3 linked regions of the Solanum lycopersicum genome follow. The protein of the gene in region 2 binds, or shares a complex with, the protein of the main gene of each other region. Links are inferred from orthologs where the notes say so. Each region holds a gene or a part of one and is shown on either strand. Other genes may lie near its edges.

Region 1 (3,758 bases), on a different chromosome or scaffold from region 2:
CACCATGATGAAAACGAGTTATAATAATGGCGTCCATAAGATTCCCTGAAACAAGGCTCCAAATTTTTCTGACAGTTATGAACAATAAAAACCAAAAAACCCTAACTTTATCTAGATATTAACAACAACAACCACATTGATACTAAAACCCAGTATATATCAATAAAAACCACAGGATAAACACATATATTAAAAACACACAACCACAACAACATGCTCGTCACTTACCTCACACTCGTCAACTCGAAAATCGCGAATGAACTCCAAAATCGTCTGCAATCTTCGATGATTCCTTCAACAAAACACTCGAAATCACTTTAAAATCTAAGAATTTCAGTTGTAAAAGTCATTGAAAAGGAGAGATTCTTAGGGTTTTCTCGTTTAGAAACGGGTTAAAAGTGATTTGGGGGGGAATTGATTTTTAGGTTTGATGACATAATATGTGGCACTGACGTGTAATTGGGTTGGAGTGTATTGGTCAAAATTTCCACGTGGGGAAGGTTCATCTCACGCGCCTAATTACCAAAAATAATTTATTGAAATTTGACTCCACATCAGCCAAAAATATTTAAAAGGATCAAATTATAGGGGGTTAAAGGATTTATAGGAATCTTGGTTAGTTGAGGTACCTGGGGGAAAAGCGCGAACAACTTTAGGGACCTGCGTATGTATTTGGCCTATTTTTTTTCTTCAAAAATCTTGTATGTATTTATTTTAATATATATTTTATTTGTATTTCTATTTATTATAGTTTTTATTTAGAATTTTGTATAATAATATATAAAACACAAAAAAATTAGTATGATGAAAAAGTGAATGAAATAAAAAATTGAAAAGAAATAATTAAATATTTGGTGTACTCATTCTTAAATAAAATACATAACAGTTGACATACCTTTAGAATAAATACAAATTACAAAAAAAAAAGTCAAATTCAGAAACAATGCAATATAATTTTTGAATGAATACAACTATTAATTGTAAAAATTGACTAATATTATTAAAATATGGATATTATCACTAAATAAGTTGATTTTTTTGACTAGTTAGCTAAATTTCCCTTTTTATTTTTGCTAAAAAAAGACTCCAAGGACATGAGTCTCTCACTTGGGCCCAACATTCAAAACCAAATCCGGCCCAAAACCATGACTGACCCGCCCCACACTATTTCTTCAGACCCCCACGCGCCCCTCTTCTCCATTCAGACCTAAATCGCAGCATCCCTAAAAGACGAAGAACCCTAGTTCGGTGCGGCATCTCTTCATACACTACGCCGTGATTGGCACAATTTCTTGTACCGCTCAAAGATTTTAGAAACTCTTCGATGGTATTGTGTTGTAATTTACCAGAAACTGTGCCTCACTGCGAGTCTACGACCAGCGACATTGCCTGACTTTCACGATTTCTATTGACGGCTTTGCAATCTATCAGCATCTCAGTCTTTTCTTCCAAGTTTCAACTGGTAAGTTTTAATTTTCTGAATTTTAGTGCGACGATTTATGAGTTCCATAAAAATATACTGATTTCTGTTCATCTAGCAAAGTGACCTGTATTGTCATGAGACCTGATATGAATATTTTGTTAGATTGTTTCTATGCAGAAGTTGATATGCACCCGCAGTTAATAGATCTTTGGCAAAACTTTCACTTTTCAATGGTGGCAATACACAGTGATATAGGATGACTTTTAGTTTAGGGAGTGTTATCTTAGAATCACATTAGAACTATCAAGTCAAAATTAGCTCCATTAGGCTTTATTTTTTTTGGTTATTTGACAAGTCACAAGAAGGCTAAAAAAGCCTTGAAAGTTCTTGAGCCTTGGTGAAGAATTGTTTAAGCATTTAATAACTCATTTGTTTACTCCTGCTGACATAACAAGTGTCTGAGGAAATTCATTGTCCCCTTCTTGTTGCTTAGAATGAGTAAGCAGGTTACGTGGCCATACACATTTTTTAACTTGAACTGCTAATTGTTCGATAATCTGATAACTGGTGGCCTCTTCCTACTTTGAACAGCTCAGTTTACCCCCAAAAAATAATGCATTGCATGGGAATCAACCTCTTCAGGCTGCATACTCTAGGGATAGACATCAATTGGTCTGATCTCAAAGTGCATTGGAGCAAACACCTCTATACAATTGTATAACCATTTTTGGTTTCTACTTGGATCAGAAAGTTTGATGTATTTTATTTTCTTTAAATGTTGGACACCAAGAAGTCATGCAAACAGCAACCTATTAGTTTGTTTCTCCTTGGTATCCTACAAGTTGTGGCGATTCAAAGTCCCCTACTTTTTCCTTTCATGAGAATGTAGGCTACGATAACCGGACATCTCTATTCAGTTATCTTTACAGAAGCTACTAATCTATGATAAACTAAACTTGTTGCCTCTATTTTGCTCGTTATGTCCTTCATGCGGCTCTGAGAAATTTGATTGCCTTTTATTTTCTTTAAGCGTTGGACACCAAGAAGACATGCAGACAACAACCTATTAGTTTGTTTCTACTTGGTGTCCTACAAGTTGTGGAAATTCAAAGTCCCCTACTTTCTCATTCTCATGAGAATGTAGGCTACGATAACCCTACATCTCTATTCAGCTATCTGTGTGGAAGGTACTTATCTATGATATAGTGAACTTCTTGCCTCTCTTTTGCCTCTTTAAGAGATACAGCCTTCATGTGGTTCAGGGAAGTTTCATTGGCTTTTATTTTCTTTAAACGCCGGACACGAAGAAGACATGGAAACAGCAACATATTAGTTTGTTTCTCCTTGGTATCCTATATGTTGTGGGTATTCTAAGTCCCCTACTTTCTCCTTCTCATGAGAATGTGGGCTACGATAACCCTACATTTTTATACGGTTAACTTTACAGAACCTACTAATCTATGATATTTTAACCTAGCTGCCTTTTCTTTTGCCATCTACCTCAAGAGTTCCTTCATCTGGTTGACGAAATGTCTTTAGTTTGTTTAGGTGTCGGACTCCAAGAAGACTTGCAACGAATAAACTATTAGTTTGTTTCTCCATGGTATTCTACATATTTTGATGATTCATAGTCCCTTAATTGCTAGCTGTCTTTTCTTTTGCCAGTTCCTTCATCTGGTTGACGAAATGTCTTTAGTTTGTTTGAGCGTCGGACACCAAGGAGACTTGCAACAAATAAACTATTAGTTTGTTTCTACATATTTTGATGATTCCTAGTCCCTTACTTTTTATTCGGAAGTTTTAAGCTCTGATCATTTATGCTTTTGGCCTCAACCTGAAAAACCATTACACATTATCTCATCCCTTGCGTTCTATATAGCTAACAATTAGCATTCACTTGTTGGAAAGAGAATGAGGAATTTGCTGATTGGGAGCTGTATTGTTGGAAAGTATGAAGTTTTGATAGACTAAAAGATAGAACCACAGTTGTATTAGATGGGAAGAGCTGTTTCTATAGCAGGAATTTGAGTTATTCTTTTATAGAGTAATTGTGCTGAAAGTCTGTCCATTAGAAAGGCTTGTGCATTTCTTTGTTATGTTGGAAATGATACTGAGTATGTTTTCTATTGTGATTCTTTCTAGTCTTCTGTGAATACTTCTCTCTTTCTACTTTTCTTTGTAGTTGTTTCGTCCTCCCAGAAACTTAGGTTTCTATCTCTTCTAATGCATTTTCCTCTTTGGTTGTCCACGATCCACTTTCTTGTTTTTATTGTTTCACAATTATTTTGACATGAATACTATAGTTCTCCAGATGTGTACTGGTTTTTTGGTTTTG
Region 2 (3,658 bases):
AAATCATAAAGAAAGCCACAACACATTGTAGGTCGAGCACCTGATATCTCAAGATGACGATGTTCTTTCGAACTTGATGTTATAGTGTTGGCACAAGCTTTTTAGAAGTATAGCAACCTGATTGGCTTGCCTCTAAATTTTTCCAACTACATAACATTTCTATTCATTCAACTTCCAGCATCATGGGCAATCTTGATAGATTTTCTACTGAAAAATCAGAAACTGGATTATTTACAAATTGACAGAGGATATGATTATCTTTGTTTCCTAACATTCTACTAGTAAGCAGATGTTTAGTTTGAATAACTTGAACATGTTTTCTCTGGTGAAAGCAGTAGGAGGATGAACAGGAGATCGAAGAGAATCAGCAAGGGGAAGGTTGGAGGAGAAAGTGGCGTATCATCAAGTTTTGCTACTCCTTTTCTTTTACTTTTTTTTATTTTTATAATCAAAATTCTGTTAATAGAAACATTTTCCTCTGGTTTCTGTTAACTTCAAGCAGTAAAAATGTCTGTATTGTTCTTTTGAAGTCTACATATGAGTAGTTAAATAATATGGAACTAAAACCGGTATGACACATTACTTCAGAGTCCAAGATCATTATTTTTACCTACTTTTTTTCACCTAGAATTTTTGGATTTTCATGATCAGCAAACTAATCAATAGAGGTCAATCGATAGAGAGAAAAAAGGGAGTGGGCAAATAAACAAGTATAGCTATACCAGATTGGTTAAGAAAGCATACCAATGGCTGTTGAGGTATTATCCTGTGCAGCCCAGGTGGGATCTAGTAGAGCATAACTAACAGCCGATTCTAATTCACCCACAGACCTTTTAGCATCAGTAAGCCACCAACTTTCTTTTATTATGCGTGCAGCTTCAACATATAGCTGCACATGAAATTCTGGAGGAAGTTGTGCCAAAAGAAGACCACATGCTTGGATTAACAAGCAAGACAGCTGCTGGCAAGTATAACCACTGCGTGAAACAAAATTAGAAGTATTCAATCCTGAAAGTGATGGAGTCGTCCTAGTTGCACCCAAAGAATCAGTGCTTCCTCCTGAAGGAGAAGTAGGCAAAATAGAGCCTTGTCCTGAACTACCAGGAGCTCCATGAAGCCCATTGCTGGATTGAACAAGGGTTGGTTGTATGTGAACAACAATTTGAACTAGAGATGAGACAATCTGTGATGGTGAAACAGGAAGAGAAAGTAATTCTATGACAGCTGTTTCAAGAGTAAGCTGGGTGGATATCCCAGGGTCTTGCATCTGATAATAAGGTTTCTGCCCGTCAAAAGAATTAGTTGTCCCAGATTGTGATGTTGCTGGGATCTTTCCATGGGGAGCACGGGTAGAATTATTTGCAAAATCTCCCATCACTGCACATTTGGAGCTATTATTTAAAGCGGGAATAACATGATTCACCAGTCCTAACAAAAGAGTAGCGAAGTAGTCCAATGGTGGGCACATGGCTGCATTTGATGAGTTGATATGTTGCGGGAATGACTCTGAAAATGGTATCTGCATAGAAGAAAAGAAAAAGAGAATGATTCAATAATTACTAAAAGAGAAGGTAAAACAAACTAGCAAGTTACGGAGCATCAACCACCATCACCTTTTTAATATCTAAGATATTCAGTATACGGAGTATTAGCTTTCCAGGAAGATGACCATAGAAATAAGAAAGTATATCACGAACAAACGTAAAGTTCAGAGGATAGTAATGAAGGAAGGGTGAATAAACTTGAAGAATTCTATCAGCCGCATCCATAGCGTCATTTTCAATGAGTCTATATATGATAAGGGGGATGACTGGAAGCAGGCGTGCAGCAATATCATCAAAAAATGTTGGATACCTGAAACCACAAGCAAATCAAGTATAAGTTGGAGTTTTAATAACAGGTTTTTTTAACAGTTTTAGCACCAATTAGAATTGTTCATTCTATTTTCCTAGAATAGAAATTATAACCACTACTGTTGGCTGCTTTCTTTACTCATCTGATAATTTTAATACGAAAGATAACCTGCTTATCTATGACTACTAAAAAAGGGGAAGTTATTGCTCTGCACAGGCCGAATCACCATAAGCTGAAGTTTCGTAGTTTCTGTTGCAGTATTTAATATTTTTAAAATACAGTGATATTCACATTTGTCTTCTCTAAGAACTGTATTAGCAGTCAAACTTTAGAAATCAAATGCCATTTATAATAAAAAGAACAAGAAATAACATAATCAAATGTATTAGTGCTTAGTTAGGATAAAATATGGGAGAATTTTGAGCAATAAAACAAATGGTTTTAATTTAAAGCATCATAGATATCTTCTAATCGCTTTGACTGATCACTGCATAAGAAATTCACTTTTTCCTAAAAAGATGAATATGTTCTAAATTATCCTTGATAAAACTGTACCCATTTAATATGATTTTTTCATTATGTCAAAATTTACTTATCTAACTAAGGGTATTTCAAAAAAATGAAAATAATGTTTTCTTGATTATGTAACAGAACATTTATATTAGAAGTAAAAATAAAAGTTAAAAATACCATATAATATGGATCATAGACAATAAAAAGAAATAAAGTTAATTAGTTAAAGCCTGAAGGAGAGCTCAAGAAGTTGCTAGGTGTAATAAATAAGGGTTCATTTGGTAGCTGAATTGGAAGTGAGTTATGCAGGTATCAAATATTGCATAACCAATACCATGTTTGGTAGTTGGTTATGAGGTAAGTTATTCATGTATCAAATTAAAACGGTGATTGATTTGCGATTTAGAAACATGCATAAATAATACTCGTATAAGTTACAAGAGAATCTAAGTATTATTTTATGCAAGTATACATAAATTATCTCGTTGTTTGGTCATCAAAAAATACATAAATTACCTTGTAACTAATTCATGCATTGCTAATACCGGTATAATTCTAATTAGCTACCAAACAACCACTAATTGTTTTGATGATTTATTTTTGAATTTTTTGATGATTTTGAATCAGCTCAAATGTTATTAAGCCAATCATGTGATTTTATATCATCTAAAAATGACCAAACTGCATAGATGTAAAAGCCTGCTTTGGCATCAAACTCGTCTTATAAGACAGTGATAATTTTGAAAATCAGATAGTTCCTTGAGAATTTACCTTTAAACCCTTTTATCCTTATGCATTTGGACTATATATTTAAAAGACCCAGTAAGAGAGAACAAGTCAGATAATTATTAATGACAAAAACACTCATGTATCTTCAATCATTTTGAAAACTAGGGTTCCTTAGGACTCATTTTAACCCTGTTAATCCTTCACACTCTTCTACTATTAGCCTGCTAAATATAAAAGACCTTGGAAGTGCATAAAGTTTGTACTCAGAAAACAGTATCATACGTGGATTGTAATTCTATGGATGACTTCAAACTGAGCTATCCTTGAAGTAAACTCTTTTCAATAAAAGATGTGTCTAGTTTTCCGATGTCAGCAACTAAACATATCTGAAAGAGTGATAGTCTTAAAGTATGTGATATTGTCGTGGCTATAGAGGAAAACATTTGCAAAAATCTCAAGGGAGCTGAACAAACTGTACTACAAAAACTAGAAAATTTATCACTTGTTCATCTCATTGAACTAGAAATAGTGGAAGAATGTGTATCCTGAGAAGTAGTTTTCT
Region 3 (3,758 bases), on a different chromosome or scaffold from region 2:
ACTTTTGGAAAATCCGATACACACCCACTGAGAGTCTGAGCAACATAGACAGAAAGCATCTTTCGGATTTTCTGTCAACACAAATATACTCCACAGCCCAAAAAATACATGCTTATTTCTTTCATTAACCTTATCAGAAATTTGGAAAAGAAATTCAGGAAAGTGCAGAATCAGTAAATCATCTTTTCTTGCGTTGTGCGGTGGATGCAGGCATATGGCATGTGTTCCTTTCCCTATTCAGTTTGAACTGGGTGATGCCTCAAACTATCAGAGAAGTTGTTGTGAGTTGGGACCATTTGATAGTTGATGGGGCCATCAGGAACACCTGGAGAATGATTCCAGCATGTATTTTTTGGTGCCTATGGACAGAAAGGAATCAACGGTGTTTTGATGGAATTTCAACTCTTAATCACTCACTCAAAGCTAAATGTTTGTTCATTCTTTTTTGTTGGTCCAACCCGTCTTATGTGAATAGTTACACTACTTTCTTAGATTTTATTAGCTCTTTAACTCTAGGCCAGACATAGTCATGTTTTAAGCCTTCTCTAGATTTTTTGAATTGGTGGATGGCTCCCGTGTCTTAACTGCTATCATGTAACGGAACTAGCATATCTACTTTTGTACTCTTAGCATCTTCTTGATGCCGGTAATGAAACAACTTACTTCATAAAAAAAAAAAAAACTAATTTGATATTGGGTGTGGTTGATTGATTGATTGATTATGCTCAAACAATTTCACCACATGGAAATAGAATTGCTAGCAATAGTGACTGACTGTCGTGCTATCTAGTTATGCATACATGTATATCAAGCTAACCTCAGCAAGTCAGCAAGAAGTGAAACTGTTAGATAAAGAGCAACTTAACAGCCAGACTAAATATGTATATACCCTTAGGTAGCATTCGAGAGGAGAGAAGAATTAAGACACCAACCTTCTCGGTGATTCACTTTCCTATACACTACCTATGTACTTGCTTATATGCAACGACAAATGTCAGTGGTTAGCATGTATAATTAAGAAAGGATAATAGAAGTCCAACTTCACAAATTTACCAAGCGTGAGTGAATAAGTCCATACTTGCAGCATTCTCAGCATTTACATTCTTGGGGTGAACAACAAAAGCCTTGGAGACCTTCTTAATATCTTCAACAATGTTATAAAGCTCAAGATTCACCATAGAAAATTGCCCCAAAATATCTTGCCTAGCAAAAAGAATTATTAAAACTAAATGTTAACATATATGAGAAATGAGTTGGAAAACCATTCCTGATTACATATTCCTCATAAAGATATACCATATTTTTTTTCAGTACTCTTAAGAATAATCATCAAGTATCAACTGTAAAACACTTCATCTCAATTCCCAACGAGATCCAAATAAGTTAAATGGTGTCTATAGAAAGAAAAAAAAGAGTGAGGCAGATCAGATTTTGCGTGAAAAGGGTATTATATATGACGCTGAAGATTTGGATTTCATTTTACAAAAATAATATGAAAAAGAAAAAAATCAGCAGTACAATAAGATACCAAAGGAAATCAATATCAAATGTGTAAGTTGATCTTCTTATATATCATTCCCTTCTACAAAACGAATGTGCAAGTATATCTTAGGTTGGATTTTTTATTATAAGTGGGGTTGAATAATATATAAATGCTAGAGAGTGAAGGTCTACTCTCATTTGTTAAGGGAGATAATGAGAATATTGAGATCAACTGTGATAATCCACATGCATCAATAAGGCGCTTCTCCTTTTCACACAGATCTTTATTACTACTCTAAACCTGGGGACAAGGATATGCAGATCCAAGCCCAAACTGTATAAGAAAGTTGGTGAAGAGACTGTGTAACCTCCTACTAACCGAGATGTGTCCAGGGAATTGTCTGAAGATGATTTGTGGTTGAGAATGTGATGTCCTATGTAGCAATGTTCATCTAACCAAAAGGTAATCTTGCCTGGTGAGTCTAGGCTCATGGAAGGATATTAACTGCACTATTGAGGCATCAAAGTTGAAGTAGTATTTTGTAGCATGCATTCCCAAACTTGTTATACTTAATTCAGTAATTACATCTCCAAATATACACAGAATCACAACATCCTGACCTACCTAATGACAACAAATCTCGCAGCCTAAATTGACAAAGAATAAAAATGGCTACCTTAAAAGTTCAGCAGGGGTATCCCAGCCTGTGAAGACACAGTACCGGAAACTCATTTGGCTGGAGAACCCACAAAATGCATTTTGGTGTTGTCAATAAACTATCCCTAAATGACAAACTAGTAAACTTCCTGCATTTGGTAGCATAGTTGTATTAGCCGAAATTACCCAATAAAACCATAGTGTATCCTAATCAGAGAGGTCAGAGGAGGTGCTTGGTAAAACAAATTGAGGGTTATTAACAAAAAAATAGACTACTCTAAACTCTTAGTACTACGGGATAGAATAATATCATCTAGTCTCACTCACCTTCATTTTGGGGGCTAATACAGCTCGTAGATATTAGTATTAGTCAACTTAACTACTCCAATGTATTTGTATTTGCTGCTACACAGTTAAAATAGAAGAAATGAACTAAAGAGAAAGAGAACCATTTGGGGACAGCATTGGTGCGAGCGATAGCGTCGAAGTCTTCGAGGATGCGAGAAATAGCCTTGAACAAACTAACGGCTCGAGTTTTAACGGATTCGAGATTCAGTTGTTGTTGAACAGCGGGGTTCAGACCCTCCACCACCCTGGGCGGCTGTGGCTGTTGCTGTTGCTGATCTTGAGCTGCCACTACTCCTTCCATGGTCGCCAACCCTCTTCAACCGCAATTTTCATTACGCATTTATATGTTTATATTTTATTATTCAAAATGTACATACCTAAAGTTTTACTAATTCTAATAATTTTTTCCATCTAAACACCATAATATTAGTTTTATTTTTAATTTAAGGTGAAATGGTATGGTGGACCCTTATATTTGTATGTTATTGTATTGTGAACCGTTCTACTTATCCTTTTGTTATTTAGATCCTGAATTCAATAAAACATAATTTAATGAACCCTCTAACCATTGACCAAACTTATGTGCCATTTGAATGTTTGAATTGGCTAGAGAGAGTGATTACACGCGTGTAAAAGCAACTGAACACCATATTTATAATTAAAAATTATAAAATTTATCAAAATATAGAACAATTAATTTAAAAAAAGAAAAAAAATAAAAAACCCTTTTTATTCACCCACCCACCTACTTTTTCATGCATAACTATCCATGCTCAACCATTTTTTTTCTTTCATTTTCTTTAGACGATCTATGCGGCGGACGGAGGCGACAAGGAGACAAAGTCGTGTGAGGGAAAAGTGTTTATGGTCTCACCGACAAGAGGAATGGTGGATGTGGCAGCTTTCTCCGGTGGATTTTTGCCATTTCATGGCTGGATCGAATGGAGACCTAAAGGTGTCGGTTTGGCCAGATTTCGGCCTTAGGTAGCAGATTTTGTGGTGGCTCACCACTGTCTGTGAGCTCACTGTTGATGGGTGTTTCACCGAAGAATGGTATCGATAGTGGTGTGAGTTCTGATGGCTCGCTGGTGTTTTTATACAGCAAATGAATTTGGGGTTTTGTGGGCCTGAAAAGGTTGGGTTATGCAGCTGTTCGCCAAAAAAAAAAAGAAAAAAAAATGAATGGGTTTTGGGTCAAGTCGAGATCCATTTTTTGATGGTTGTTTTAGTTGGAAATGGTTGAGAAATGGGTCCTTGGTGACTTTGTGGT

What was found.
Region 1: mediator of RNA polymerase II transcription subunit 23 (region 2) and mediator of RNA polymerase II transcription subunit 27 share a complex: the UniProt entries of both Arabidopsis thaliana proteins name them as parts of the mediator complex. The link is inferred for Solanum lycopersicum from reciprocal best matches to the Arabidopsis thaliana genes AT1G23230 and AT3G09180.
Region 3: mediator of RNA polymerase II transcription subunit 23 (region 2) and mediator of RNA polymerase II transcription subunit 8 share a complex: the UniProt entries of both Arabidopsis thaliana proteins name them as parts of the mediator complex. The link is inferred for Solanum lycopersicum from reciprocal best matches to the Arabidopsis thaliana genes AT1G23230 and MED8.

What each region holds. Positions count from the first base shown.
Region 1 is NC_090800.1:77,929,047-77,932,804, forward strand, and holds the start of mediator of RNA polymerase II transcription subunit 27, read left to right. Parts: upstream 1-1,151; 5' UTR 1,152-1,462; intron 1,463-3,758. UniProt on the Arabidopsis thaliana protein: Component of the Mediator complex, a coactivator involved in the regulated transcription of nearly all RNA polymerase II-dependent genes.
Region 2 is NC_090804.1:17,735,814-17,739,471, forward strand, and holds part of mediator of RNA polymerase II transcription subunit 23, read right to left. Parts: intron 1,855-3,658; coding exon 1,614-1,854; intron 1,520-1,613; coding exon 745-1,519; intron 1-744. UniProt on the Arabidopsis thaliana protein: Component of the Mediator complex, a coactivator involved in the regulated transcription of nearly all RNA polymerase II-dependent genes.
Region 3 is NC_090802.1:67,512,305-67,516,062, reverse strand, and holds the start of mediator of RNA polymerase II transcription subunit 8, read right to left. Parts: upstream 2,880-3,758; 5' UTR 2,790-2,879; coding exon 2,590-2,789; exon of another isoform or gene 2,468-2,589; intron 2,290-2,467; exon of another isoform or gene 2,216-2,289; coding exon of another isoform or gene 2,160-2,215; intron 1,204-2,159; coding exon 1,079-1,203; coding exon of another isoform or gene 1,054-1,078; intron 1-1,053. UniProt on the Arabidopsis thaliana protein: Component of the Mediator complex, a coactivator involved in the regulated transcription of nearly all RNA polymerase II-dependent genes.